Linked DNA regions of Astyanax mexicanus. The protein of the gene in region 1 interacts with the protein of each later gene in a pairwise test. Links are inferred from orthologs where the notes say so. Each region holds a gene or a part of one and is shown in the gene's direction. Other genes may lie near its edges. The genes, in order: nup62l, oip5, iscu and agr1.

The links.
Region 2: the proteins of nup62l (region 1) and oip5 interact in binary tests that used the Homo sapiens proteins (3 or more experiments, as listed by UniProt). The two-hybrid records come from large-scale screens. The link is inferred for Astyanax mexicanus from reciprocal best matches to the Homo sapiens genes NUP62 and OIP5.
Region 3: the proteins of nup62l (region 1) and iscu interact in binary tests that used the Homo sapiens proteins (3 or more experiments, as listed by UniProt). The two-hybrid records come from large-scale screens. The link is inferred for Astyanax mexicanus from reciprocal best matches to the Homo sapiens genes NUP62 and ISCU.
Region 4: the proteins of nup62l (region 1) and agr1 interact in binary tests that used the Homo sapiens proteins (3 or more experiments, as listed by UniProt). The two-hybrid records come from large-scale screens. The link is inferred for Astyanax mexicanus from reciprocal best matches to the Homo sapiens genes NUP62 and AGR3.

The regions. Positions count from the first base shown.
Region 1 is NC_064417.1:1,308,485-1,315,897, forward strand, and holds the start of nup62l (nucleoporin 62 like), read left to right. Parts: upstream 1-4,388; 5' UTR 4,389-4,514; intron 4,515-5,282; 5' UTR 5,283-5,299; coding exon 5,300-5,610; intron 5,611-6,475; coding exon 6,476-6,729; intron 6,730-7,357; coding exon 7,358-7,413. Other genes in the region: cnga2a (cyclic nucleotide gated channel subunit alpha 2a), read left to right, coding at 213-320, 670-776, 949-2,369. UniProt on the Homo sapiens protein: Essential component of the nuclear pore complex. The N-terminal is probably involved in nucleocytoplasmic transport.
Region 2 is NC_064414.1:7,791,650-7,799,060, reverse strand, and holds the start of oip5 (protein Mis18-beta), read left to right. Parts: upstream 1-4,389; 5' UTR 4,390-4,509; coding exon 4,510-4,732; intron 4,733-6,238; coding exon 6,239-6,305; intron 6,306-6,401; coding exon 6,402-6,524; intron 6,525-6,627; coding exon 6,628-6,709; intron 6,710-7,411. Other genes in the region: nusap1 (nucleolar and spindle-associated protein 1), read right to left, coding at 22-185, 349-512, 603-653, 763-875, 1,535-1,621, 2,131-2,296, 2,393-2,539, 2,871-2,930 and 1 more. UniProt on the Homo sapiens protein: Required for recruitment of CENPA to centromeres and normal chromosome segregation during mitosis.
Region 3 is NC_064429.1:3,638,712-3,646,530, reverse strand, and holds the start of iscu (iron-sulfur cluster assembly enzyme ISCU, mitochondrial), read left to right. Parts: upstream 1-4,810; 5' UTR 4,811-4,865; coding exon 4,866-4,967; intron 4,968-7,819.
Region 4 is NC_064418.1:38,617,562-38,624,436, reverse strand, and holds the start of agr1 (anterior gradient 1), read left to right. Parts: upstream 1-3,874; 5' UTR 3,875-3,922; coding exon 3,923-3,998; intron 3,999-5,010; coding exon 5,011-5,109; intron 5,110-6,635; coding exon 6,636-6,699; intron 6,700-6,789; coding exon 6,790-6,842; intron 6,843-6,875. Other genes in the region: traf3ip1 (TRAF3-interacting protein 1), read right to left, coding at 1,018-1,140. UniProt on the Homo sapiens protein: Required for calcium-mediated regulation of ciliary beat frequency and mucociliary clearance in the airway. Might be involved in the regulation of intracellular calcium in tracheal epithelial cells.

The DNA.
Region 1 (7,413 bases):
CGATTGGCTCCAAAGATACAAATTTTGTTTGTTTGTTTCTAACAATGATTCACATTTTATTCATATTTCAGCTTAGTCTTATAGAAGAAAAAGTGTGATTATTCGTCATTAATCATGGTATTCAATTTTAATCAATTTACAAAATGCTATACTGGTCATATCTCAGTTATAATCTTTAAAACTAAGATTTTTTGGGGGGGATTCATCTACAGGAAGAAGTCAGACGTATTTGTCCTCGCAGCAGCAGACGACTTGTATTACCACTGGCTGTTTATCATCGCCACCGCTGTGCTGTACAACTGGTGTCTACTGGTGGCCAGGTAAAAAACACCTGTCTTATTCTTACCTGTCTTACTGGTGGTGATTTAAAATGTTAAATATTTGCTTAATAGAAGGAATAAATATGTATTTCTAAAATTATACGAACAACAATTCAGTAAAAAAAACATTTAAGCTTTTAATACAGATCTGCTTTAGAGCTGGCCTGGTTGAGATGTTCCCTACATAGAAAAACAACAATTTAAGAGCTTCAAACCTAATGAATCGAGCAGGTCTAATTTAGATACTCATTTTTATGCTGATTTATGTAAATATCTGCAATTGTGCCCAGTGCAAAGGGGCATTTCCTGTGGCAGGCTCACAATTTAGCCATTGATATTTCAAACACAGGGCCTGCTTTGATGAGCTTCAAACCAACAACTACATTGTGTGGCTGGTTCTGGATTACCTCTCTGATCTGGTCTACATACTGGACACCTGTGTGAGACTGAGAACAGGTCAGAAGCCTCGGTCAACAGTCACAACACTCAAAAGTCTGAAAAAAAATTGCATTTATTGAAATAATGTACTAAATGTTGTACTTTTGGTTCTAGAAATGATTTTATATTGTTTTTTAATCACCTGAATCCAAATTACAAGAAAATAATTACATGAATTTCCACACCGCAGGTTACCTGGAGCAGGGTCTTCTGGTGAAGGACCTCAAAAAGTTAAGAGACACCTACATCAGCAACCTCCAGTTTAAGCTGGACCTCCTGTCCATCCTGCCCACAGACCTGGCGTACATCGCTACTGGAATCCACGTACCGGAGCTGCGATTCAATCGTCTGATGCGCTTCTCTCGGTTGTTTGAGTTCTTTGATCGTACGGAAACTCGCACAAGCTATCCGAACACTTTCCGCATTGGAAACCTGGTGCTCTACATCTTGGTCATCATCCACTGGAACGCCTGCATCTACTTCGCCATTTCGAAGTCTCTTGGCTTCGGCTCAGACCAGTGGGTCTACCCTAACATCTCGGATCCCGAGTTTGGTGCTCTCTCAAGAGGCTACATCTACTGCCTCTACTGGTCCACCCTCACGCTCACCACCATTGGCGAGATGCCTGCACCAGTGCGTGACGAGGAGTACCTCTTCGTGATCTTCGACTTCCTAGTGGGTGTCCTCATCTTTGCCACCATTGTTGGCAACGTAGGAGCCATGATATCCAACATGAACGCCACACGTGCCGAGTTCCAAGCCCGCATCGACTCCATCAAGCACTACATGCAGTTCCGCAAGGTCAGTAAGGAGCTGGAGGCTCGGGTCATCAAATGGTTTGACTACCTGTGGACCAACAAGAAGGCAATCGATGAGCAAGAGGTGCTCAAGAACCTTCCCAACAAGCTTCGGGCGGAAATCGCCATCAACGTGCACCTGGAGACTCTGAAGAAGGTGCGGATCTTGCAGGACTGTGAAGCAGGGCTCTTAGTGGAGCTCGTTCTGAAGCTTCGGCCTCAAGTCTTCAGCCCGGGCGACTACGTCTGTCGGAAAGGAGACATTGGGAAGGAGATGTACATCATTAAAGAAGGTCGGCTGGCGGTGGTCGCTGACGACGGCGTGACGCAGTTCGCCCTCCTGACTTCTGGCAGCTGCTTCGGCGAGATCAGCATCCTCAACATCAAGGGCAGCAAGATGGGCAACCGGCGCACGGCCAACATCCGAAGCATCGGCTACTCGGACCTCTTCTGCCTGTCCAAGGATGACTTGATGGAGGCGGTGATAGAATACCCTGATGCCAAGAAGGTGCTGGAGGAGAGGGGCCGAGAGATCCTCCGGAAGGAGGGACTGCTGGAGGAGCTGAGGGCAGGGGGGCTTACAGGAGAACAGATGGAGGAGAAAGTGGAACGACTGGAGACGTCCCTGGATACCCTGCAGACCCGCTTCGCCCGGCTGCTGGGGGAATACACGGCTACACAGCAGAGACTCAAACAGAGGGTCACCACTCTGGAGAGCAGGATGCAGCTTTCAGGCAGCGGGTTTCTGTCCGATGGTAACGAGAGCACTACCGATGGTGACGGCACTCACAGCGAGGTCAACATTCAGCTCTGAATGGAACTGGGTCTTTATTATGGGTCTTAATTCCATGATTATTCTAGACTCAGGGAGAACAAGTGGCTCAGAGGCTTGTTGGTTAAAGGAGAACTCTGGTGTAAAATGGACTTTTGTTGTAGTAAAACATGATAAAATATTCTTTCCTTTGATGAATAGCACACCTCCGTTCTCCCACAGCGTTCAGAGATCCAGACATTTTAACAGTTTGTCCAAACACCCTTCAGACTGGGAGATACGGGGCAAAATTTGCCTTGATGAATCACTTTTTACACCGTTATCCAGCTCAAAGTAGCTCCACACCTCCTCACTAGAATCCGAAGAGCCCTGACATTTAAAACGAGGCATTAATAACTTAAGGTAAGTACTTTTTTTTCATGTTTTACTTCTCCAAAAGTCCATTTTACACCGGAGTTCTCCTATAACACATTTCATGTTTTTTCCATGGTATTCCATGTCTTCGTGTCTGGGTTTCCTCCCACTGTCCAAAAACATGGTTAACAGGTTAAATGGAAACTCTGAATTGCCCTGGTGTGTATACTGTATGTGTGGGTGTAATTATGTATGAGAGTGTGTATGTATGTTTAAAACTTTTTAGAGCTTTTGAGACATTTTTTATACTTTTGCTAATTTCATTTTATAATAGTCTTTTAAGGACATCTGGAATCTGAAAAGGCAAAGGCTATGTTTAATGTCATTAAAAATAGATGTCTTTAGTGTCCACTAAAGCTGATATCCATATTTTAGTCAAAAATGTAAATAGCTCAGTGTTTTTAAATAGGTCAATAAATCAATAGGTCAATGGGTCACTTTATATGAGTCATTACCAGTTGGAGACAATATTTAACAATAAAATGTTTGTTTTGGGTGAAGACTGAAACATGTAAAGGCTGTATATATGTATATAAACTTTGACTTGTATTATTGTACTACATAAACTTTGAAGCTGATTTTTGTTTGAAACACAGATTAAAGATATTGTGTTTTAGTTTATTTCGTACTTTGTTTCTCTGGTCTTTGCTCCCATCTCACAAAAACACACATACTATGTGAAATAAAACTGATAAACCTGTTGCATGTGTACGCAGAAGAACATAAGAAGGTGGGTATAAAGAAAGAACATTTTAGTCTATGAAAACTCGTCAGAAAATGGATTAAAATTGAAATGTCAATATTTCAAATAATCAAATATCATCAAATCAATATTTCATTATAGCAGCGCCGCTGGACTGGAACATTAACTCCCCTTCGTATGATTGGAACTATTCTTTTCCATTATTTATAGAAAATATCGTTTGTAATTAAGCCTGTCTCCCAAATCACACACATACATTTTTTAAAATAAACACTACACAATAAATACACGCTAAATACAATTAGGTGGGGTCTTGTGCAGTTTGGGACACAGCCCTATAGTCTATATGATTTTTTTTTGTATTTTACCTCTGCTTTAACTAATACATTTTACTTTTTATTATTTTTTTTTTATTTGCATGCACTTGATTTTTTTTAAATATAAAAATACCAATATTCAATATACCAAAAAGACAGTTTAGTGGTCTCATAGTAAGCAAGGGAATAAATTGAATAAGAAAAAAAACGTAAAACGTACCTTATTAGGTACTTTTATGCAACTTTTAGACAGATTTTAACTATATTAATTGCCTCATTTAATTTTTGACAAAAATTTAAAGAAAACTACCAACCACTACTATACAACTCTTAATGTTTAATGGAAAATATATAAATATGTGTTTGTTTTACTCTTAATAGTCTAACGCATTCAAAGTTGAATTTTAAATACAGCTAAATTTGATTTTATATATATAAAAAAATATATTTACATTATTATTATAAAACTCTATAAAACGGTATAAAGAGAAGAGCCTTTATTTTAAACAGGCAAACGTAGGGGAAACTCCGGCTCGATCACAATTGACTCCCTTCCTTTATGCTAGGGACTGTTCTAAATGCGGTTAACAGCCTTTATTAATGGACTATGTAGTTCACTATGTAGGCAGCATGAAGCGTTTGAGATGTGCCCTCTGGTCCTGCGCAGTGTCAGTAGCGCCGCGCTGACGGACTTGTTTTTCCGCGCGAGGAGTTTTACAGGAATGGGATCCGGCTTTCTGCACTTTTTCTGAGGTAAATCAGTTGTACTGCTGTTTCAGGATTTATTCTCAGTTACTGCAGAGTTTATTATTATAGATTAAATCACATCAGCAGGAGTGTTTAGGTAACAAGCTTAACATTAGCCTAGTTCACTTAGTTAGCGAGCAGAGCTAACAACATAGCTAAGCTAAGCTAACTAGCGAAAGCATGACTAGCTGAGAGCTGAGCCGGGTAATTACTTTACCTTATTTACTTTATTTACCTCAACACAGCAAGAGTGTGTGTTTATCTCTAGCTTTCTATAAGTCTATATCTCTATACATATGTCTATATGACTTTTATACACACACACACACACACTGTGCGTAGATGGAGAGAGATAAGTCCCTTTAAAGTGTAAATTTGGTATAAACAAGAACACAAGCAAAGCAACAGCACATAAAAACATTAGAAAAGTTAATAATATCTAAATCATATTAAATAATATAAAATAATTAAAATTCCATATTTAGTAATCTCAGGAAATGTACTATAATCTTATTCAGTTCTTTAAGATGCTGTCAATTATCTGGAGACGATAGGACATTGGGACAGTCAGCAAAATTGGTGGTATTATCTAGCCCCCATGCCAGACTTGAATTATTTTGTAAAATTTCTCTTATAATTTATAATAATCTTATAATAATAATAAAGTCAACATTGAGGGATGTACTGTAATAAATCATGAACAGGGTTGCTTTAAAAGAGACAACTTGTTTTGTAACGATCCTATTTATTAATATTCTTTATCTAATATTTCAGTATTTAAAGAGAGGAAGATGTCCTTCAGTTTCGGACAGGCCAGTGCTGGTTCTGGCTTTACTTTTGGAACCCCTAAAACTACCAGCTCAGCTCCGGCTGCTGCTACAGGTTTTGGACAGCTGACCAGCACCCCGGCCGCAGGGGGCTTTACGTTCGGAGCCCCGACTCAGCCTCAGGCCCAGCCCCAGACCCAGGCTTCCATCGGGACGTCTCAGATCGCAGGACTGCTCGCTCAGCCCGCGGCCAACAATGGAGCTTCACAGGGGGGATTTAGTTTCGGTGCTGCGACGCAGAACACCGCTCCTGCTCCTGGAGGATTCTCCTTCGGGTAAGACTTTTTGTACAGGTATTACTGAGAGAAGACGCTGTACTGATAGATACAGGGGTTGGAGAATGAAACTGAAACAGCTGGTTTTAGAGCACAATAATTGATTGTGGTGACGGACAGTTCTGGTGGAAACAGGAGAGTTGAGGTGCACATTGAATTCTGCGTGATTTGATCAGCCGTGGTTTTATGTTTTTTGGATACAATCCGGGTTAGCACCCGAACATCCCTTTCAGACAGCTTCCTCTTACAGCGTCCACAGTTAATCCTGTTGGATGTGGTTGGTCCTTTACCCTGGATACCGTGGCTCTTGATGCATCACAAAGACTTGCTGTCTTGGTCACAGATGCTCCAGCAAGACGTGCACCAACAATTTGTCCTCTTTTGAACTCTGGTATGTCTCCCATAATGTTGTGTGCATTGCAATATTTAGAGCAGAACTGTGCTCTTACCCTGCTAATTGAACCTTCACACTCTGCTCTTACTGGTGCAATAATGTGCAGTTAATGAAGATTGAACACCAGGCTGCTCCAATTTAGCCATGAAACCTAAAATCCCACACTAAAATGATGACAGGTGTTTCAGTTTCATTATCCAACCCCTGTATGTCTACCTACAGTGGCTTTTCAAAGTATTCATACCCCTTAAACATTTTAACATTGTGTTGTCTTACAACCACAAAGTTAAATGTATTTTATGGAGATTTTAAATGATGGACCAACACAAATTAGCACATAATTGTAAAGTGGAACGAAGATGATCGATAATTATAACATTTTTAATCAAATAAAAATTTGAAAAGTGTGATGTTATAAAGAAGAATGGGGTAAAATAATTAAAATAATTTTAAATGTTTTCTCACTTCTAGTGCACCCACTGCGAAACTAGGCCTGGGCCTGCCTACTGCCTCTCAGCCTGCCAGTACTGGAGTGTCTCTGGGGGGTCTAGCAGCACCTTCCTCCACTGGAACAGGCTTTACACTGGGAGGTCTTGGTGCTCAGACTACAGCCGGAGCTCAGCCGTCTACAGGAGGCTTCAGCTTCGGGATGACCAAAGTTCAGACCACTGCAGCCCCGGCAGTGCAGACCACTCCCGCCCTGTCGCTGGGTGTGCAGCCTACAGGTCTGTGGTTTATCCTGATTTTAGGATTAGGGGTTGGCGATATAGCCCTAAAACAATATCACTATATTTCATGGCATTTTCGTGATAACAATACTCTTGGCAATATGAAAAAACACTTAATTAAAAAAAATATATTGTCCCTATTCAGGACAGTACCAGGGGTCTGCATGGGTACAATTAACTTTTATTTTATGTTCTGGCAGAAATCATTTATATAGCTATTCAGTACTTGATTATTTTGTGATTTAAATATTGGCTATTGGATTCTGAATCAGTGTTTCTGATTTTGCTATTTTAGGTGTATTTTGCGTAAGTTACAAGAAAAAGATTTAAGAGTTCAGAAATCAATATTTGGTGGAATAACCCTGTTTCTTTATGCATCTTAACATGTTTTCCACCACCAGTCTTACACACTGCTTTTGGATAACTTTATGCTGCTTTACTCCTGGTGCAAAAATGCATGTAGTTCAGTTTGGTGGTTTGATGGCTTGTGATCATCCATCTTCCTCTTGATTTAAATTTGGTAAAATCAAAGAAACTCATAATTTTAAAGATTCATACAGTTTTAATGACACCATTCTTTTCTTTTCTCTTTTTTCACCCTCTCCTCTTTCCTTCTGTTGGTCAGGTCTCACAAGTACTGCACCCGTCTCTACAGGCCCTACTCTCGGAGCTGGCTTTGGG
Region 2 (7,411 bases), on another chromosome or scaffold:
GTTTATCTCCATTGTTCTTACCTGGAGTTTTGTTCACTGCGGCAGCGTTCTTGTTAATCTCTGGTTTGGTGCGAACATCAGACTTCCTGCCAGGAGTGGGAGTGAAGGGAACCATAGGAGACATCCTAGCTGGAGTCTTCACCAAAGAACGCTTGTGCTCATTGTCCTGCGTGGCCTCAGAAAACCTGAAAAAGAAAGTTTCTTTTTACTTCACTTTACCTACATCTGTTATGTGGATGGGATAAATAGTTTTAAATAAAGTAATTTTCGACCTAAAACCTCATATTTACCCCTAAATATCACATGAAGGAATCAAACGACCATTTCCAAATACTGTCTGCATCTTACCTGACATTGATTTTGTTGACTGAAAGGACAGCTGGCCTGAAGGGGACACTGTTCTTTTTTGCAGATCTGTTGACCAGGATTGGGGTGAACCTGCGTTTCTCTGAAGTTGGTTTCCTCTCCTGTAGGCCCGGGCTAAACAATGTTGCACGACTGGCAGGCGGCTTCTGCAAATGAACATGTATTTTTGAGTCCCTTTTACAGCTCAAGACTGGTTTTACAAATTACAAACTAATCTAAAGCAACTTTTTACTCACAGCCTGAATCTTCGCATCACCAGGTTTCTTTGCACTGTTTTCAGATTGTGCCTGAAATTAATGCACACCCTTAATACATCACTACTTTACTATTTACAGATGCTTAACCCACATGCTTTAACTTAAAAGCTAAATACACTCACAAATCAATCAAATGTACCTTTAGTTCCTTAACAGAGCTTCTGAGAGCATCCATCTGCTTGTTTTTCCTCTGTACGTAAGAGTCGATAGACTCCATCTTATTGAAGTGTGCCTCATGGAGTTTCTTAAAGTCTAAAGTAACAAATACAAAATACATTATGTAAAGCACAATGACCAGAACACCAACACAACACAGCTGAAACACAGAACCTGATCTTGCTATCCTTATACATTTTATATATGTGTCTATTACCATCTTTCACATGCACATGCCTGGATTGTCTATGAAGACTCTCTCTTGTGTTCCCTCGGTTTGCTTTTACATTTAGAAGTATATTCATGATCAACATAACTTGTAAATTGGGCTTTGGTATCTGCATGCATTCAGGATTCTGGATCCTGGAATGTTTTGGCCATTATATATACACAAAACAATAATATTAACAATCATGTGCATTAGTATTTAGTAATGTGATTAGTAGCTGATTTTTGCTCTACATAAAATAATAAAAATCAGATAACAGGTCGATCTCACAAAAATGCATTGGAAACTAAAACTGGACAAGTGTCAATGAAAAAGATGGATATTAAGTGAAATTATAATTAAAATTGCCCCATAGCATAATATACAGCCCTGCACAAGTGCAATTAACTAAATTAGTCTAATTAAGCACTTACTGCAATAAAACATGCAGTTTTTCTGAATTCCCGAAGTCATACAATTACAATTTACCCCAATAATAAATGCCATCATACTGCCCAACCCTAACAGACAGAAAATTAAACTTTACTAGGAGTGGTCGGTCTCAGAGGTGCCTTCGTCTTCTTCAACAGACCCTCATGACGAGGAATTCTGCCAGCAGTCTTCTTTTCCACACCTGTGGAAAACAAAACAACCCTTAAAAGCATTCAAACTATTCATACATGTTATAGCAGCAGATCCAGTATGTGTGTCATTCAGGAAATAGGAGGCACTCAAGAAAAGTAGTAGACACATTTAACAACAACAACAACTCTTCACATAAGAAAATGCAAATCCAAATTCCTCTTTTTACAGTTTTCCTCCAATAATTTCCAAAAACGGTTAGCACAGCCAAAAAACTGAGTGCATCTGTGCTCCCAAATCCTTCACTCTCAACTAGTGCTCTTTAAGCTTAAGCGCATCTTTTACATACTATCAAAATATGAGTTTGATTGTAAATTTCCTTTTACATTAAACTGACATGACTTTCATGAAATAATACAACAATAACAAAAATATTCAAACAAATAAAATCATATGAATTATTATCTATGGAGTTAAGACTGTGGATATATAAAATGAGTTACCTGTAGACAGCATAATTAAAGTTTGATGTTTAGAATGAATGTACTGGCAAATGCATACCTTGAGCAGCCTGCTGAGTAACATTAACAGACTTTGGTTTTGCGTCTGCTTTGCTCTCCTTGGGATCCTCAGCTACAGCCGGAGTCTCTGTGCCCTTAGTTGAAGACACTTTTCTCCTTTTTGAGCTTCTTCTGCCCTGCTCTGCATCATGAAGCTCAGCATTGTCCTAAAAATGGTTAAATGTTTCTGGTGATTTTTTTTTTTAAACACGATGAACTGTTTGTTTTTTAACATAACCGAGGTTGTTAATGATATGACTTACCTGGGCTGGGCTCACTTCCACTTTGGGCTCATTGTCTGTACTGCCCTGGTCAGAATGCTTCCTCTTCATGCTTTCACTCTTCCTGCGGCGCTTGGTCACATTTGAGGACTTGACCTCATCCTCTGCCTGAGCATCAACATTATTTGCCTGAGGGATGTAATGCATTTATAATATGAGATTTATAGCCACACTTATGTTTTAAAACAAGAACTTATTTGTATAAAACAAGAGTCACATTGCATTGCAGTATGTGCAATATCAAATATATGATTTTATTAAACTTTTTTTTTTTTTTTTAAACTTGGAGACCCAAGAGAATTTAAAACTCTCCATGACATGTCTACCAAAGGAACATTATATCACAGGTAAAATCTGGTGACAAACTGGAAAATGCTTAAATATCTGTATTTCACCTGAAACCTAAAAACCACAAACTTAAAAGGCTGTAAAAGGTGTGTAATGAAATTGGGGGACTCACATTCTCTGAGCTCTCTTGTTGCTCAAAGTGCTGCTTCAGGGCCTTCAGCAACTTCTCAGCCTAAAAGAAAAACACATGGATAGGTTTGGTTCCATTTATCTGAGAAGGGAAGGGAAGGGAAAAAGAGGAGCAATCTCACACTGATTTACTCTCTTTATTAAATAACTGCCATGATAAAAATACATTTTAGGAGCCAAAATAATACCCTGTGCAATACTACAAGATTTTATAAACCTTATATATACTACCACAACAGATTTTACATTAGAATTAATGCTGAATAATAAGACATTTAGCTTAAGGTATTAAGGGGATAAATAAATCAGCAGTGGCAGTGGGACATTGTAGCTTTGGGAGTATTAGAAGCATTAAATCTTACGTTTGCAGTGTATAGTCATGCACTAAATATTCTCAACTAGGGGTGTGCCATATCGTATCATATGGTACACAATATCATCACCAAACATTTGTGATAAATGTCACAATTCTTGAAAGCAGTATATTTTGCTACAATAATAACAATAACAATAACTACTATTATATTAAAAGTCTTGGTAAGTTACTGTTTTTACATACTATTTGTTTCAACTAAATAATTTAAACCCTTATACTTACAGTAATTAATAATTTAACATGTAACATCTATTTTGTTACAGCAGTAGATTCAGTGTTGACATACTACCAATAATATTTGTATTACGTATAATAACTTACAGGTACTTTGTTACGACTGTAGGTTGTTGAATTTAATTAAATGTATTTATTATTTTTTCAGTGTTTTGACATACTGCCAATAATATATTTATCGCAAAACCACCGTGAAATATCCTGGTATTGATTGCAATAGTGCTTTTATATCGCACAGCCACAGAAACAATTGTCTGCGCTTATAAATATGCCTTAAATAAATAGCTTAATCTACTTATTTTTAATAACTAGAACAGCCATATAAAAACAAAGATTAGCCAACCTAGCTAAATACGTTAGATAAGTTTAAACATAGGTTAACTAGCAAGCTAATGAATCTTGAATTGAACCTTGAATTCTAGCCTGCTACCTTAAAACGTGCACAGTTAGCATCATTAACCTACACTGTATGTTTATGTGGGCCAGACCACGCCGTGCAGCAGTTAAGGTGGACCTGAAATAACCTATAGCGGAAAGCTATACAACGAACTCAGTTAGCTAGCTGCCCCTAACTAAATTAGTGTTAACGTACATATATGTCGGCCTCACCTTCATGTTAGCTTTCAAACCAACGCTTTTGGCGAGCTGCTGCAGGTCTCCATATTTGAGGGAGTCCAAATCCATCTCCAAGACCAAATCTAGACAATGTAGACGATACAAACAAACAAAAAGAGAGAGAAACGGTCGCAGTATGTCCAAGACCGAACCAAACGCGTTTCTTTAGGTGGGTGACTGAAGGGAGAACGCGCCTGCGTCGGTTGAAAACCACAGTTCAAATTTTGCCACCTCGTTTCCTGATTGGCTAGGAGCGCTGGAGACGGTAACATGTTTGTAGCGCTGATTGGTTCGTAGCCTGAACATGGGCGGAGTCTATCATCACACTGTTTGTTAGAGTGAGAGCTGTGTGTGTTTTGGTTGTTTAGCACGGTGTAAATTCTCGCCAGTGTAGAAAATGTCTCACAGAAAGCCCAGTTTCCTAACGGACAGCTATGACTGCGATAGCACCCAGAGCAGCGTAGTTGTGGAGCAGCTGAGAGCTGTGGAGGAGCCGGGGGAGCACACGGTGGACTATGAGCGGTGCTGTGTTCTACACTGCGCCAAGTGCAGCACGGTCATAGCTGACTCCCTGTCCGCCTGTGGGGAGGCTAAGAGTATCAAATCCATCATTTGCCTGAGTAAGTTTCTGTTTTCAGTGTGAGATAAAACATTTGTAAAGAAGTTAACTGCGTTATTGAAGTGCTTTTATTGTCAGAAATTGTCAGAAAACATTTCATTAGAAAAAAAAAACAAGAGACAACTTCAGTTTCTGAATCAGTTACTGTAATTTAGCTATTTATAGGTATATGTTTGAGTAAAATAAACATTGTTGTTTTATTATATAAACTACAGTCAACATTTCTCCCAAATTCCAAATAAAAATATTGACATTTAGACATTTAGAAAATGAGAAACGGCTGAAATAATAAAAAAAAGAGCAGAGCCTTCAGACATGAAATGATGCAAAGAAAACAAGTTCATATTCATAAAGTTTTAAGAGTTCAGAAATCAATATTTTGTGTAATAACCCTGTTTTTCTTTCACAGTTTTATGCATCTTGGCATGTTCTCCTCCACCAGTTTTACACACTGCTTTTGGATAACTTTATGCCTTTACTCCTGGTGCAAAAATTCAAGCAATTCAGTTTGGTTTGATGGCTTCTTGATCCATCTTCCTCTTGATTATTTTCCAGAGGTTTTTAATTTGGTAAAATCAAAGAAACTCACCATTTTTAAGTGGTCTCTTGTATCCATTGTATCTGATGCAGCATTGCCAATTAACCAGCATGCTCAGAGGACAGCGCAGCGACTTCTTTGCGATACATCGGCTTACAGATGCCTTGTGCTGATCGACATCACCCTACCATGAGGGGAGAGAGTGTCATCTACCCACCCAGAGAGAGCAAGAGCTCCGGTAGCTGATGGCAAACTACATTTTAACCAGCAATCTCCAGATCATAGTGACGGCGCCTTAGTCAGCTGGACCACACAGAGCCTTATGATTACAACAACTTCTCTCCTGAATGATCTCACATGAGTCTTTTCAGACCTTAGGACTACTGTCAGAAATCCCCCAGTGAGGGTTCTGTATTCAACTACCAATCCCCCTCTGAGTGTACTATACAGACCTGGCAACCTATAACTGAATCTTCTGCATCTTGTCAGTGCATTGCCTCTGTCCACAGTGCTCTGCAGTTTAAACTGTGAATGCAGGTGGGAACATGAGGCTCAGCAGACCACGCGATTAATGAAATACAAAACAACGTGTTTAAGTCAGCAGATACAGAGAGGCAAGGATGTGTGTGGGCAGATCAGCACTGCTGTTTGTCACCCAGAATAAACAACATTTATTTTTCTTCTGTGTGCATAAGTTTGATAAGACGCATTTGACACCTAAATTACGTTTCCAGCAACCATATAAAGAATAACCTGACATCAACTGTTTTTTCTACTCCTCCATGCAGTATTCTTTCTTCTGTGTGATGTTTAAGTGTTTCTTGCATGCACAGCCTGTGAATTGCGCTTTAAAGATTGCTATTAACAATCGGTTTATAGAATAGTGTTAAAATATTAAATCGGAGTGTTTTATTTCAAATAACCCGTTTTACACAATATGAACATAATATTTTAAATGTGTTCATGCAGAAGTCACTCAGGACGTAAAAGTCAGAGGGAAGTTTGAGGTATGTCTAGAGGGTCCTCTGGCTTTTTGGTAAGTAAGCTGTCCCCTAATGTGGCATAAATATTTTTAGTTTTTATTATTTTAAAATTTGTAATAAAAGTCCTCTTTTTCTTATTTGTCACGAAGCACTTACAGAGTCCTTGAATGCGGTATTTGTCATCGCAGCATGGGTGTCATCCTGCACTCCACTCCAACACATTGGTCCAGCTTGCGAAATCTCTTTCTCTTGCGGAAAGAAGTTCTAAATTGGTGAGATGTGTTTTTGTTTTGGCTTTTAAATAAGTACAATGTGGTGTCCAAGTGTTGGGGAAAAAAAAAATAAAATTGTATTTACTTATTTTAACCTGTTCAGTTACATGCTAAGCAAGTGCACCGTGGTGAAAGCTACCAAAGTCAGCTTTGAAACCAGACCTATAAGAAAAAACATCATTGAGGTAAGTGTAGCATGGTCGGCTCAGTCTCATATACCATTACTTTAAAGGGAGAATTTTCCTTTACTTTTTACTAAAATTTTGTTTAGTTTAGTACATAAAAATATTAATATGTCTTTAAAACAGACAGACCATATGTAGGGAAAATAAGTAGCAAAATCAGCTTGGGTTCATTGGGCCTTATTTCTTAGAAAAAAAAGTATTTCTAAGATCTAATTTACACAGCTTCAAACAAGATTCTGACAGTCACCTTTTTTTCTTATTTGGGATTTTCTTTTTCATTCACAGTAGGATTCATTATTATAAGAGCAGCGCTGTAAAGAATAAATCAGCAGTTTTTAAAAGCATATTGTGAACATGACTGAGACTTTTTGTTAGGATATTTATTCAACATATTCAAGAAGTTCTTAGGAAGATGTGAATGGTTTGTGAATGAGGCCCATTGTTTTTTGACATTATAAAATCCAGCACATTTACATATTAATGTATGTAACCCATTCACACTATGTTGTAATGTTTTTAATGGGCTGCTTTCTGATTGAGGAGCAATAACTGCAGCCAATAAAAACAGAACTCATTTACATTAGAGTATTAAAGACACATTAAGATAAAAGCAGACTGGATCAATGAACATTGTGTGTTTGAGTGGACACTGAACCCCACAAAAATGTGTATCTCCAAAGTAGCAACTTTACACGTGAAAAG
Region 3 (7,819 bases), on another chromosome or scaffold:
AAACATTCGCAGCTCGTTTCCCGCCAAGCGGAGGAGAAAAAGAAATTTATTTTTAATTATTTGTTTCTGACAGCAGTTTGTTGAACATTTTAACTTGATATTGCGCTATTCCACCCAATGGCTGCAATTTGCTTGTTGTAACTCTTCCAAATTAAACTTAGTTTTTTTATCCTTTTTCAACTATGAATCTAATAACACATATGTCTAAGCTTGTAAATGGTGGTTACAAAACTCATGTAAGCTTAAAATGCATGTTTAAAAGCAAGTCCACTGTTTCCTTTCATTTCCTCTCAAGAAAGTTTTTATTTTAAAGAAATGGTTGACTGCATGTCTAATAATTGATATTTATGACAAAAAAAATCACTCCTGTTACTTTTTGTGTTTTTAACAACAGGTATAAAATTAAGAAGAATGAGCTTTTAGCATAGAATTTGCAAAAACATGAAAAAAGCATGAGGAAATTGAGCACATTGAGTGATTTTCCCAAAAATTGTATTTTAAAAATAAATAAGATTTAAGAATTAATTTAGATTACAGGACAGAGTGTTGAGAGTGGCCCCCTCAGTCAATAGTTACAATAAGATCAAATACACAAAAAATATTAATTTTTGTCTTCCCATGGTCTTCAGATGAACCAACTGATGTCACTTCATGTTGTAGATGTGAATTGTAGAATGTTCCAGATGTTTCAGATGGGGTAATGTGTTACGGTAACTCAGGCACACAACTAAAATGTGTATTTTAACTTAAATATAATGAATCTATTGTGGAAAAAAAATTAAAGCATATTTATTACATCTCTGAAGGAATTTGGTCAGTGTACAAGACATTATGCTCAATAATAAAATGTATTTTAAAGTAAAGTTTTTCCTGTGCACATTTATACATGTAATTTCCTGGGGAAAGAAATGTCACAGATTTGGCGGAATATGACATATACACTTTATCTTTTTTTGTTGTTTTATATGTTCTATTTACTTTATATATTATTCAGTTTTTTTCATGTATGAATATGTATCTGACAAATATACTTTAAAGGAGTAATGCCAGAATAGACCCATTGTTTGTTTCTACAATTACATGGCATTAGCGTGAAGTCAGGGTCACATGTCAACCATCTAAATGTTTAACCACTTCTGCTCATATATTTAAAGAAACTGTTTGCCAGATTTTTTTTTTCACAATTTTATGTTTTTTAGTTTAGGATACACAAATAGAATGACTGTAAGAACTGTGGGCAGGACGCTTTGCATAACTGTACCCTCATGGATGTTTTTATTTTATTTTTTCCTTTTTATGTCAACCAATTCTGTGCGGTTTCTGATTCTTCCTGTTGAAATAACCAAATAAAAATAAATAAACAGCCCAGGAATTAGGCGCCATACAGACCAGCCAATCAGAAAAGAACAATTTGCATATATCAGTCTTAAAGACCAAGTAGCACAATCTGAGACTTAGTTGTAGAAGATGCAAGGTTGGAAAATGACATGTACAAATACATTTCAACTGTTTTCGCTACACAAACTAACAGATATATACAGCAAAATAGAGAAAAAAAGAAATCAGGAAATTGGCCATAAGTTCACTGATGTTTGGGATTAGTAGTTTTGCCTGCAGGACGACAGAAGAAAAAGTGTTTTTTACTTCATGAACTAATTCTGGCATGGCTGTATTTCTAAAACCACAGTGAAATAGCCATTTTACCATCTCTTGAAAATAAATTCCTCAAATGGAATGGACTTTGAATAGAAATCCATCCAGCAAATTTGAGAAAAGCTGATTAAAATATATACCAGACCTAACTAATAATGATGTGTGAATAAAGCTGTTACATTGTAAATAGTCCTGCAGTTACAGGGCACCATTTGCTTATTCTATTGTATATGTGAAAATCTTTAACAGCAGCAACATTAGCAGAGCATTACTACCTTGTTGTTCAGCCTCGCTGCTCTTTTTCCCCTAAAAAAAATAAACTGGACTGTAAATGAAGTTAAGCAGAGTTTACAGGAGACAAACAAACTATTATGTATTTAGGACGGGTATGTTACTTTCATTTTAAGTATTTTTTTATCATATAAGTAGGTAAACCTGTAAAACTGTTATCAAACATTCCTCCCACATTCTCTATTACCTGGTCTAATTTAAATAGCTAAAAGTGGAAAGTTCCTCAGAACTCAGAATGTATTTTTCAGACCTCTGCTCACACTGGACAGTAAAATCCCATCATTTCACTTTACTTTTCTCACCTGTACCTTCTTTTTTCTTTGGTAAAGCAATCCAATATTAATATATAGTTGCAAGAAAAAGTATGTGAACCCTTTGGGATTACTTGGATCTCTGCATAAATTGGTCATTAAATGTGTTCTGTTCTTCATCTAAATCAGAACAATAGACAAACACAGTCTGCTTAAACCAATACCATACACATAAATATATGTTTGCATGTTTTTTTAACACAACATGTTAACATTCACAGTGAGGGAGGGACAAAGTATGTGAACCCCTAGGCTAATGACTTTTCTAAGAGCTAATTGGAGGCAGGATGTGATGAGATTGGATGTGTTGGTTAAAGATGACCTGTCCTATAAAAACCAATGCCAGTTTAGAGTGTGCTGCTCTTAAGAAGTATTGCTTGATGTGAATCATGCTTCACACAAAAGAGCTCTCAAAAGACCTACGTTCAAGAATTGATGACTTGCATGAAGCTCGAAAGGGTCACTAAATTATCTCTAAAAGCCTTGATGTTTATGTTTCCACGGTAATACAAACGCTCTACAAATGGAAAAAGTTCAGCACTGTTGCTACTCTCTCTAGGCGTGTTTGTCCTGTAAAGATGACTGCAAGAGCACAGCGCAGAATGATCAATGAGGTGAGGAAGAATCTTAGAGTGTCAGCTAAAGACTCTCTGAAATCTCTGGCACATGCTAACATTTCTGTTGACAGATCTACAATAAAGAAAACAGGACACCACAGAGGAAGCCACTGCTGTCCAAAAAAACAATACTGCACGTTTGAAGTTTGCAATTGAGCACCTGGATGTTCTACACAGCAGTACTGGCTAAATAAACTGTGGACAGATGAAACCAAAACTGAGTTGTTTGGAAGGAACACACAGCGCTATGTGTATAAAAATGCACAACACACCATCATCAAAACCTCATCCCAACTGTGAAACATGGTGGAGGGGGTATTATGTTTTGGGGCTGCTTTGCTGCTTCAGGGCCTGGACGGATTGCCGTCATCAACAAAAAAATGAATTCCCAAGTTTTCCAATACATTTTGCAGGAAAACTTAAGATCTATCCTCCAACTGAAGCTCAACAGAGGATGGATGATGCAACAGGACAACGACCCAAAACCGAATTAAATCAACAACTGAACGGCTTCAACAGAAGAAAATCCGCCTTCTGGAGAGTCCTGTCCTCCTGAACCCAATTGAGATGCTGTGGCATCATGGCCTCAAGAGAGCGATTCACACCAGATATCCCAAGAATATTATAGCTGAACTGAAACAGTTTTGTAAAGAGGAATTCCTCCTGACTGCAGGTCTGATCTGCAGCTACAGGAAACGTTTTTTTTAGGTTTTTGCTGCCAAAGGCGGATCAACCATTTATTAAATCCAAAGGTTCACATACTTTTTTCACCCTGCACTGTGAATGTTAACATGTTGTTTTCAATAAAACCATGCAAACATATATTGTTTGTGTAGTATTAGTTTAGGCAGACTGTGTTTGTCTATTGCTGTGACTTAGATAAAGATCACAACACATTTGATAATTAATTAATTTAGAAATCCAAGTGATCTCAAAGGGTTCACATACTTTTTCTTGCAACTGTATACATGGCTGATTAACTTGCCACACACAGGACATATTAGGACTGGGGCATAAGTTGTCTCATCATATCTCTATTATTCTGAAACATTAATTATCTGATAAACATACATACGGTATTAGTCTAGCACCTCACCTTTAATATAAACAAACAGACCCACCAATAGCACCACAGCTAACCCTATTCGCTCTGGTTTGAGGAGTTGACAGTGGTTGCAGTCTGCACCATTAGCTTATCACATTAAAAAAAATGTCAGAAAATAACACTGGGTTATTGTCCTTTTTAACATTGATTGTGTGGGTTTGTATTTTTGGTTTCGAATAAGCATTACCTAGGAGAGACACATTGGAATTTCTGGGTCTCTGAGTCCATCTCTCCTGAAAGTAAGACAAAAACAATTCCAAATCTGGTTTATGGTCTTGAGATCAAGGACAGACTGGAGTACTACAACACTAGTATTTTTTAGTGGCTGAAATTGCTAACAACTAATAATAACCCAGATAAACACTTATTTCTAGCAGTAGGCTGCCTATACTAAGATTGCCACCCGTCCCATTTTTTTTTTTTTTTTGATTCCACAGGCACTTGTTTTCCCCTGTTTTAATTCGGGAAAGGTGGCAACCCTACTCTATATTCTATACTCTGTCCTCTATACTCTACATTCTGTACTCTATACTCTGTACTTAATACTTTATACTCTATTTATATTTATAACTTATACTCTGTACTCTAAACTCTGTACTCTATACTCTACTTTATACTCTATATTATATAATGTATACTCTATACTTTATACTCTGTACTCTGTAATTTATACTCTATAGAATACTTTAATGCTGCTTTTAAAATCGGAGACACATCCTTCATCAACATACTGCCTTCTGAGGGAGCTAGTGTAGGCAGCAATGCATCAAGTCAGCATGTCTGGAATTTGAGATACACCCAGGTCTAACAGCGCCCCCTGCTGTCTGTCCTTCACAGCGGCTGTTATTATCAGTGTCTGTGTGGAGTCGGAGAGTCGGCAGTGGAGACATGGCGCTGTCGTCGGTGGGGAAGTGCTTCTCGTCCTTTGGGCTGTTTGGCAGAACTCTGACGGGCACGGAGGCGAAGGCGGTGTGCTGCTACCACAAGAAGGTCGGTGGCTGTTAAACACTGCGCGCTTTTCTGAGCTGTGAAACTAACCGGGCTGTGTGTGTCTGCGCACTTTAAGCCTGTTAGCTAACAGCGCTGCTGTCTGGGGCGCTAATCCTCCGTTAGCATAGCGAGCTAGTGCTGCTAACACTAGCGAGTTCCGCTCTGTTTTATATTTATTATAAAGCTTAACTGCTCGAGACTTTCAGAAAAACAAGTACAAAGCCCTTCTACAGCAGGATATAACACTACATAATTATTTATCTGTTCACAGCGCGGTGTCCTCGCTTAGATAAGTGACAGTTATTGTTTGACCTGGATAAGTAACGTTAAACCAAGCTAAGTTTGATGCGTAGTCGAATCTTCCGTTCCACCTTAAATCCTACTGCTGATACAGACAGGCACCTTCACGTGCGCCGCCCTGTTATTGCTGGGGAATTTAAGGTGGACTGGGGAAATCCGCTGAGCAGCTGCAGCCTCAGAAGTGAAGCTTCTTGTATTGTAGCTGATTATATAGGTGGGTGGATTACATGTTTATCGAAGTTCTGGTCTTACTTTCCTTTAAATTAAGCATGTTTGTGCGGTTAAGGCACTTATGACGAGCAGTTTCAACCTAAAATGACCCTAGAGATCTAGCTAACTTACTCAACTCAGTATTGACTGGTGAAAACAAGGTCACTGTAATACAGAATAAATGCTATGGTACCTTAGCTAGTAATAATATCAGATCTAAAGCTTTATACAGACATGGTATAATTTTGTCATGTTAATGCTGATCTGCATGCTTTTAACTATAAGTACATTTTTACCTGTAAAAACTAATATAGTTACGTATAGTAAATGTATATTATTTGCATTTTAAAGTATACATTTACTTGTCAAATCTGTAGTTACAGACAGAATTACTTTTGTGTTCGTAGTAACTGTTCAACATTGTAGATATCCAAAAATATGCTATTTGCTATCTAAAACTGTTAGAACTACGTTTTAAAGATATATTGAGTTATGATGAATAGGGAATCTGTTTTTCAAGGTCATTGTCATTGTCTGGTGTATTTTTCTTTAAATTAAGCATTTTTTAACCTAAAATGACATCAGAGTCGAAGTGCGTAGCTACCCAACTCAGTTTTTACTGGTAAAAACATGGTCACTGTGATGCAGAACAACTGCTATGGTACCTTTACTAGTAATAATATCAGATATAGAGCTTTATAAATCTGTAAAGCACATATTTTTTCATGTAATTTTGTCATGTTACCACTGATCTGCTTTAATATTAACTATCTCTAAGTACATTTTTACTAGTGAAAACTATAGTTATTGATACATTTATTTTTGATCTAAAACTATCCAAAAGGCTCATCAGAATTAAATATTAGAGATATCTTGAGGTATGAGTTGGTCATTGTCATTATTAGATGTATTTTTCTTTAAATTAAACATGTTTGTGGGATTTAGGTACTTACAACACGCAGATTTGCCTAAAATGACACCAGAGAGAGAATGCCTAGATACCCAATTCCATGTTTACTGGTGAAAACAAGGACACTGTAATGCAGAATAAATGTTATGACACATTTACTAGTAATACTATCAGATCTAAAGCTTTATACAGACATAGAGCATAATTTTAATGTAATTCTGTCATGTTACCACTGATCTGCATGCATTTTAAAGTACAGTTTACTAGTAAAAACTTTAATTACAGATCTCTGCAATTACATTTGTGTTAGTACACAGTTAAATATTGTAGATATCAAACATTATATTGTTTTCTATCTAAAACTATCAGAAATGCTCATTAGAACTTTATATTAGCGGAATCTTGAATTATTGTAATAGGTAGGTACACTGTTTTCTGAGGTCATTGTCATTATCAGGTGAATTTTGACACCAGTGATGGGTTACAAGTCCTGGCTATCTCAGTGTTTACAGGTAAAACAAGGTCACTGTAATGCAGCTTTTACTGGAGGAAATATTAGTTTAAGTTATCAGCTATGGCACCTTTACTAGTAAAAAGTATCAGATCTAAAGCTTTATAAAGCCATAGAGCACATTTTTAATGTAATTTCGATGTTATCACTGATTTCCATAAAGTTTAACACACTTAACTATAAAAAAAAATAAGATATTTGCACTTTTTTATTTTTAGAAATTGTAGTTCTAGACATCTAGTAAGTAATTCTAGTTCTAGATAAAGTAATTCTTATTGTTACATATTATTTAAAAATATTGTACCGTTATCATGACTAGTCAAAACTCAAACTGTAGATATAATCATATAATTTCGTATGCAATAATCATTATCGCATGTCATATAATTTTAGGGCGATTAGGGTACAACTTTTTTGCTATGTGTAGAATTCACTTCTCATTTAGGAGTGTGCCATAATATATCATATGCAATATTATCGCCAAATAAATGTTAATATTTATTTTGTTGCAATTAGTGTGTTCTTCAAATATAGATGTTGGCCATATCACCCAACCCTACTACTCCTAACTGCATATCTTGAATTATGATTTATAGGAATCAACACTAATTTATTAATATGTGGAACTGGACATTTAACTTGTCAGAATTACAGTGGAGATATCCAAAATTAAAATATCTACTACTAAAAAAGAAAAATTATATCTCAATGGTCAGTAGTAAGGGATTTATAGAATTATGTTAAGGATGTGTGCTTTTGGAATTACATCTATTCAGAATGATTTTATATCACTGTAGACCTGACATTATTACAAGTAATTATTTCTGAATCATATCTGAAATTAGAGTTTCCACTAATGACCTACATCAATACAGAGACCTGCAATTAGAGTTTTTATTAGTAAAATCTTAGTAAGGACTA
Region 4 (6,875 bases), on another chromosome or scaffold:
AGTTTTCATGCATCTTGACATGTTCCTCTCCACCAGTCTTACACACTGCTTTTGGATAACTTTATGCCAATCCTGGTGCAAAAACTCAAGCAGTTCAGTTTGGTTTGATGGCTTGTGATCATCCATCTTCCTCTTGATTATATTCCAGAGATTTTCAATACGGTAAAATATAATAAACTAATCATTTTAACTGTTCTCTCATTTTTGTTCCAGAGCTGTAGATGATGTGACTAGTCAGAATGTGTTTAGCTATAGCTCTGTAGATCTGACATAATCACTATTAAAACTTTCAGACATTATATTTCAATATATAAAACTAGGCTAACTATACACAGGTTACAGAGATCTGCAGCTACTTAAGCTAGCTAACTTGAGTTTTGACTAGTAAAATGAGAGTTAGGACCCGAGTTTGGTACTGGTAATGTGTGTCTAGTCAGAATGTGTTTAGCTACACATAGATCTGTAGATCTACAGATCTAGTAACTAAACATTTCAGAGATGATATCTGAAATAATAGTTTCTATTAGTAAAAACTAACTAGCTAACTTAGCGTTAAGTTAGCTACAGAGATCTGTCACGAGCTAGGTTAGCTAATTAGCCAACTTGAGTTTCACTAGTAAAAACTTGGGCTTGGACTAGCCCTTGTAGCTAGTTAGCTGAAGCTGGTGGTGTTACTTTAGGCTATAACGGTGGGCTATAATCTACAGTGGTGGTGAAGCCAGAGCAAAACTTGGAAAGGTGCAAAACAGCAGAAGAACAACCACCTCACATCACCTTACAGCACTAATCCAGATCTGCAGCTCCCTGCAGAGCTCAGGAGAGCTTAAGTAGGAGTGCTAACCGTTAGTTAGCCTGTAATGCTGTGCGCATCTGGACCGACTGAGCCGAGGAGTTCAGAGCCAGACACAGTAACGTTAGTGAGCTAGTTAAATTATCCAGCTATAGTTACGTGATGTTTAGCGGTTTAAGCTAATTTCTCGGTAAATAACCGAACAGACAGCTCTCCTCCGGACTCACCTCGCTTAATATATCGTGCAGGTATCGGAACGGCGGTTTGCTGAGCAGTTTTTCAGTCAGGGGAGGCTTCTTTATCACTCTCCCCAGAACCTCCTGGGTCTTTTTAGCCACCGAGCCGTTCATAGCAAAGCCCTACGGTCCTCTATTCGACGTTACCGCTGCTCCCGTGTGAAATATTGAGTAATTCACCGCAAAAAGACCCCAAAAACGGAGGAGCTACAATCACTGAGCGGCTCTCAGTGTTGCTGTGTCAATAGCGTTCAATCCCACAATGCCCCGCTTCGCCAATATGCGCACGCGCACACCCTGCGTGGTTGTCAAGGGGTGGCAAATATCCATGGCAACGGCTAACAACTCCGGGCCTGTTTAATAGCATGATACACTTTAGCTAAAGCTAATACAGGATTTTAGCTAAAAACACATTTTATTATACATTAAACATATGAAAAAATTAAACATAAAACATTTACTGCACAATATACTGACTATAACAGAATAGAGAGTAATGGAGAGTAATGTTTATATGAATATAAATATTTAAAGGGGATATAGATGAACTCCTACTACTTATAATGATAGTAATAATAATAATAATAATAATAATAATAATAATAATAATAATAATAATTTTGCAACGATCAATTAATCAGTCAATCTTTATTTTTTTCTCAGAGGTAGCTGCACTGAGGGTGAGCCCGTATTTTCATTGCCGCCAACAATTTCCAATAATAGGGATTTATACTCTTTACATAAAAAAAAAATAAAACAGAGGACAGTAATCAAGCTAAAACTAATGGAAAAAAACCCCGAAAATAATCATTATTATTAATTAATATTAAACTGAAATTAAGACTTTTTTAAAAAGAGTTCAGAAAACCCAGATAGCAGATCTAGGGAAATACATAATAAGAAGGTAAACCAAAGATAAAGATAAATAGGTATAAGAAAGGTTTAAAAACAAGAAAATGTAAACAATTCAATGTAATATTTTAAGTACAAAAAATAAACTTAAGCTAACTAACTAATAATGAAATTATACAATAATAAAATATTATTGATGATAAAATAATAAACAAACATAAACAAACAAATAAATAAAAAGTGATTTGAAAAAAGTAGTTAAGGTTAAGAAAAACAGGTAGAGGCAGAATGGATGTGGTTAAAAATTAAAGTATAAAATGACTGAGTGAAATGCGGAATTTTCCAGTTAAGTAAAACATTTTGTTCAGGTTTACCAGAAGAATAAAAGTAACTAGTTTTTATATATAAGTAATTTAAACATCTCTCTGCATGTGCCCATATAGACATGAAATCCTTTAAATAATTTCAATGGTATTTTGTCTACCTTGGCCTTAGCCAAAATAGTACAATGGTTTAAAACTACAATGGTAAAAATACTGTTGAATAATTCAAGATGTCCTTGATATTTATATGATACTATTGAGTATTGTGGTATATTGAATATACCACTGCACATTTAGTACCATGAAATACCATCATACCATGGAAAAACTGCTGTATTTTTTCACATTAGATGGATTTATTAATATTAGGCTACAGTATAAAAAGCTGTCCAGTGGTGGCTCAGCTGCAAGTTCTGGATTGCTAATTACAGGGCTGTGGGCTTGCTATAACTATAAATGCAAAAAGGCACATTATTATTGCAATCAAAGTAAGTGTTACAACAGTGAAAGTGAAATAATAGTTACAGGTTATGAAATAGATCCAATTCCAATGAGCCAATTCACAATATCACTGATTGCAGAGCACTGCCTGTGCTAAAATCTGGCTTGTTCACTCTTTGACACACCTAAAAAAATCTGCCGGTCCCATGAACAAAGCTACAGACAGGGAAAAAACCACACCTTTAATTCATAACAGCCTCTAGGCCTCTAACTGGTTTAAGCAAATTCTGTGCTTCAACATACACAACAAAGGCAGCCACACATTCTTAATTACAAATCACCCCTGTATAGTTCCAAAGCAAGATCAATACACCCCTGTGATTAACAACTGAACAGGTGTTATTTTCTTATTTTATATTTTCTCCATCTTTTATTCCCCCCAATTTAGCTTAGCTAATGAACCTGCTCTCACATTAGGATGTCCTCTATCACTATTAATTCTGTTACATGTGAAGCCAGTCGTTGTTTCTTCAAATGCAGAATCACTAGGTAATCAATGAGCTTAGAAAAAAGCACCAAATCCCTAGTTCTGATACATCAGTCAACATACATCTGTGCCAGCCAGCATCACAGACAGTGCCATCTACCTACCCGGACAAAAAGAGAATGGGTGGCAAGGCAGCTTGACCTGTGATTTGAGCATCTGGTCCTTGTGCCATAGTGTCACCTTCTTATGAAAAGAGGTTCTTTTCCTGAAATTCTGAACCTGCATGCTGTATCTCTACAGGTCATGCCTAAAACCAATTTTATCTCCACCAATCCACAGGACGTGTTTCTTTGAAAACTTGTGTCACAAGAAAAGTATTCTTTTGCCTACATATAGGTCACAATATAAAAGTGCACTACCACCCCAAAGTCAGAGTCAATCTTCCTTAAGGTCTTTTACAGTCAAAGAGTGGGTTTTGATTTTCCTTTTTCGAAACCAGTCAAATGTAAAATTTGGGGGGGGGGGGGACTCAAAACTAAGCATATTAAATATCAGATCATCTTCTATTTACTTCAGTATTTCTTTAGTAAGAGATCAGTATTTGTCCAAGTGTAACCTGTGCATGATTCCCATTAGTGCTAGTAAACAAAACATGAAAAAATAATTGTAAATTGTGGTTTATATGAATGTGAGAATTTGAGTCATTGAAAAGCTACTGGGAGGAGGACGTCTTGTTTAGCCATGTGTTCGTACGTGTATTCAGACCTGTTTGGCGAGTTCTTTTAAGCTATAAATGCACCTGCACCACCATGAATACTGTCAGACTGACAGAGCAGAAGAGCAAAGCTGGTTCAGCCGTTTCACTTTTGGTAAGATTTCTTTTTACTTAAAAACTGGTATTTATTGTTTTTTAATTAATTATGTATTATTGGGAAATTGAAAGGTGTTGTGTTTATGCTTGGCTGTGACAAATTAAATGTCATATTTGTTTAAGTTGTGTAAAGTGTATATCTGTGATTTTTTTTTTTTCGTTTTTGACAACAGTATAATTTATTTTCACACAACTGGGATAAGTGTAAGCTAATATTGAGATATAGAGGAAGTTATGAACAATTATTATAATCAAAACAAGATGCTAATGCTTTTACCAGCCTGTCTAAACATGCATTTCTAAAAAAAAAAAAACTAATCACATGCAGGGTTCTCAATATTTACTCCACAACATGATTTGTAAAAAAAAAATCATAAAGGAATGGTCATAAAGTAGCTTTTGAATAGACCAGTTATTTGTATATTCAGACCAGTTTGGTGGGTTTCATAGCTATACATATACCTGCATACCTGTGGGTTCTGTCAGACAATTTTTTTATGTCTACAAAATGTTTTGTTTATTGTATTGGCCCAATGTGTATGTCATTAATACAAATAAATGTGTGTAGATATTTTATAATTAAAAAAGTAGCTGTTAAACAGACCAGTTGGCCATATATTCAGACCTCTTTGGTGAGTTTCATAGCTGTAAATACACTCGCATGTGTGTGAGTTCTGTCATATAAAATGTGTTTAGGCTCATGTTAGCAATTGCAGGAAGATTTTTCAATAAATCTATTATATCCTGATTTGTAAAACATCCTCAAGAAAAACTACACCTACAAACAGTGCAGTTGCCTTTTAAACCGACCAGTTAATCATGTCCAACCACTTGCTCAACCAGCCACCTCCTCTTTTTTTTTTAAGCAATCCCTTTAATAGCTACAGGCTGCAATGTGAAAGGGGTATGGTACTTAACTAAACACATTCCACCATACTGATCATACTGATAATTTAACACTTAACACAGACATGTGCACAATATACTCACTGTTTGTCTGATTCTTACAGTAATCATGGGCCGCTGGTGTGTGTACGCATTGCTCTTCTTCTTATCCTGTGACGTCTCCATGCAAAGAAAAAAGAAAGTAGTCCAGACTCTCTCCAGAGGTAAGATCATTTCAAAATATGTATACGTATTTTTCCACACTATAAGGTGCACTGGATTTTAAGATGCATTATGCGACACTAGCAATGAACAGTGGTGTCGCCCTGTTTTCCTTCTGATTCAGCAGGTCTTGCCACTGGGTGACGAGACCTTTAAATCTAAGCCATGCAAAGTAACAAAACTATAATTCAAATAAGCACTGGATGTTAATCTACACAGATTTCTCTCCTAAATACAGTTTATTTGGGTGAGTAAGGAGCTTCTATTTATTTGCTGCAAGCTTAGATTTCCAGATTTCCTTAAGTGTTCCGGTAAACCAGGGTGCTATTAGCTAGTGGTTTACAGGTTAGACAGGTTAACCTGGTAGCAGGTTACAGACCGATAATACTCACCTCTGAACGGCGAAAGAGCTAGCTAATGCTAATACTGCTCAAGTTTTGAGTCTTGGGGCTGGAGAACCAAACTAAAACTCCTGTATAACACTGCACTTCAGCAGAGTGGCTTTACTGCTCCTTACAACCTTTCTTAAGTAAGGCCATGAAAAAAAACTCTTGGATTTAAATTTGTAAAAGAAAAACTGTCTTTGTTTTAACTAGACTGACTCTTATTGCACTAAATTAGGATGATGTGTCCTGTAGATCAAACAAATTTGAAAATGTGCTATAAAAAGAGCCCATATATATATATATATATATATATATATATATATATATATATATATATATATATATATATATATATATATATCTTTTATGCTATATCTACTTGACTGTGTCCCAATGGGTGCTGTTTCTTGTAGAAAACTAGAGGTCCTACAGGTAAGAAAACATAAAGAAGTTCACATTTAGATGCAATAAACCAACCAGTGTGCCAGTTGTCATTCGCTTTAAGAGCCAGGTGTGCTCAGACTTTGGCACATTGCTATTTCAATGCCACAGCTACCTGGACATGTCCACTGCTTCTTAGCAGAGGAAACTGACCTGCTTGTTCATTCTGTTTATTGTTGATGTAAACATTTCCACCACGCCCATTGGTATAGATATATTCACAAACATTGTTGCTATTTAAACGAGTCAGGTTCAAGGCGTGACTATAGACTGTTAGCAGGGTGTAAGATAGCAATGAGCATTGCAACACAACCATAATGTTATGTTGCATTAAAATAATTACAGTTCAAAAATTCAAAGACTTAAAATATTAATGTGTTTGTGAATGCTGCAAATTTTCTGAGGTCATCTGGCACCCCAGCTTGGAATGCTTTATTTACCACCAGTACTCTATACAGTCCTACTGGTCTAAAGTAACACAATAAACTGGTGTGATTTATATAAAACTGAATGTAAAAGACCTTAACAGAAGGAATGTAATCAGAAATAAAGGAATTATTAAATAGGACAGTTATTAAATATTAAGAACTAAAATGCAACATACCAAATTCTATCTCTGCTTCCAGTACTGATATGGTCACTAGGATTGTCACTTGTGTTTTTACTTTACCTGGTTGAGTTGAACTGTTGCTTTATTTCAGGCTGGGGAGATGACATCACCTGGGTTCAAACATATGAAGAGGGTCTATCAAAAATGAGAGCAAGGTAAGATTAACTGTTAAATCAGTCTTTTGTCTGAGAGCTGCAGAATTCTTTATTATAGTTATGGATATGTCTTCTGTTTTATCACTACAGCAACAAGCCTTTAATGGTCATTCATCATCTAGAAGAATGTCCACACAGTCAAGGTCTGTAATATTTCTCTATTGTTCATTATGCAT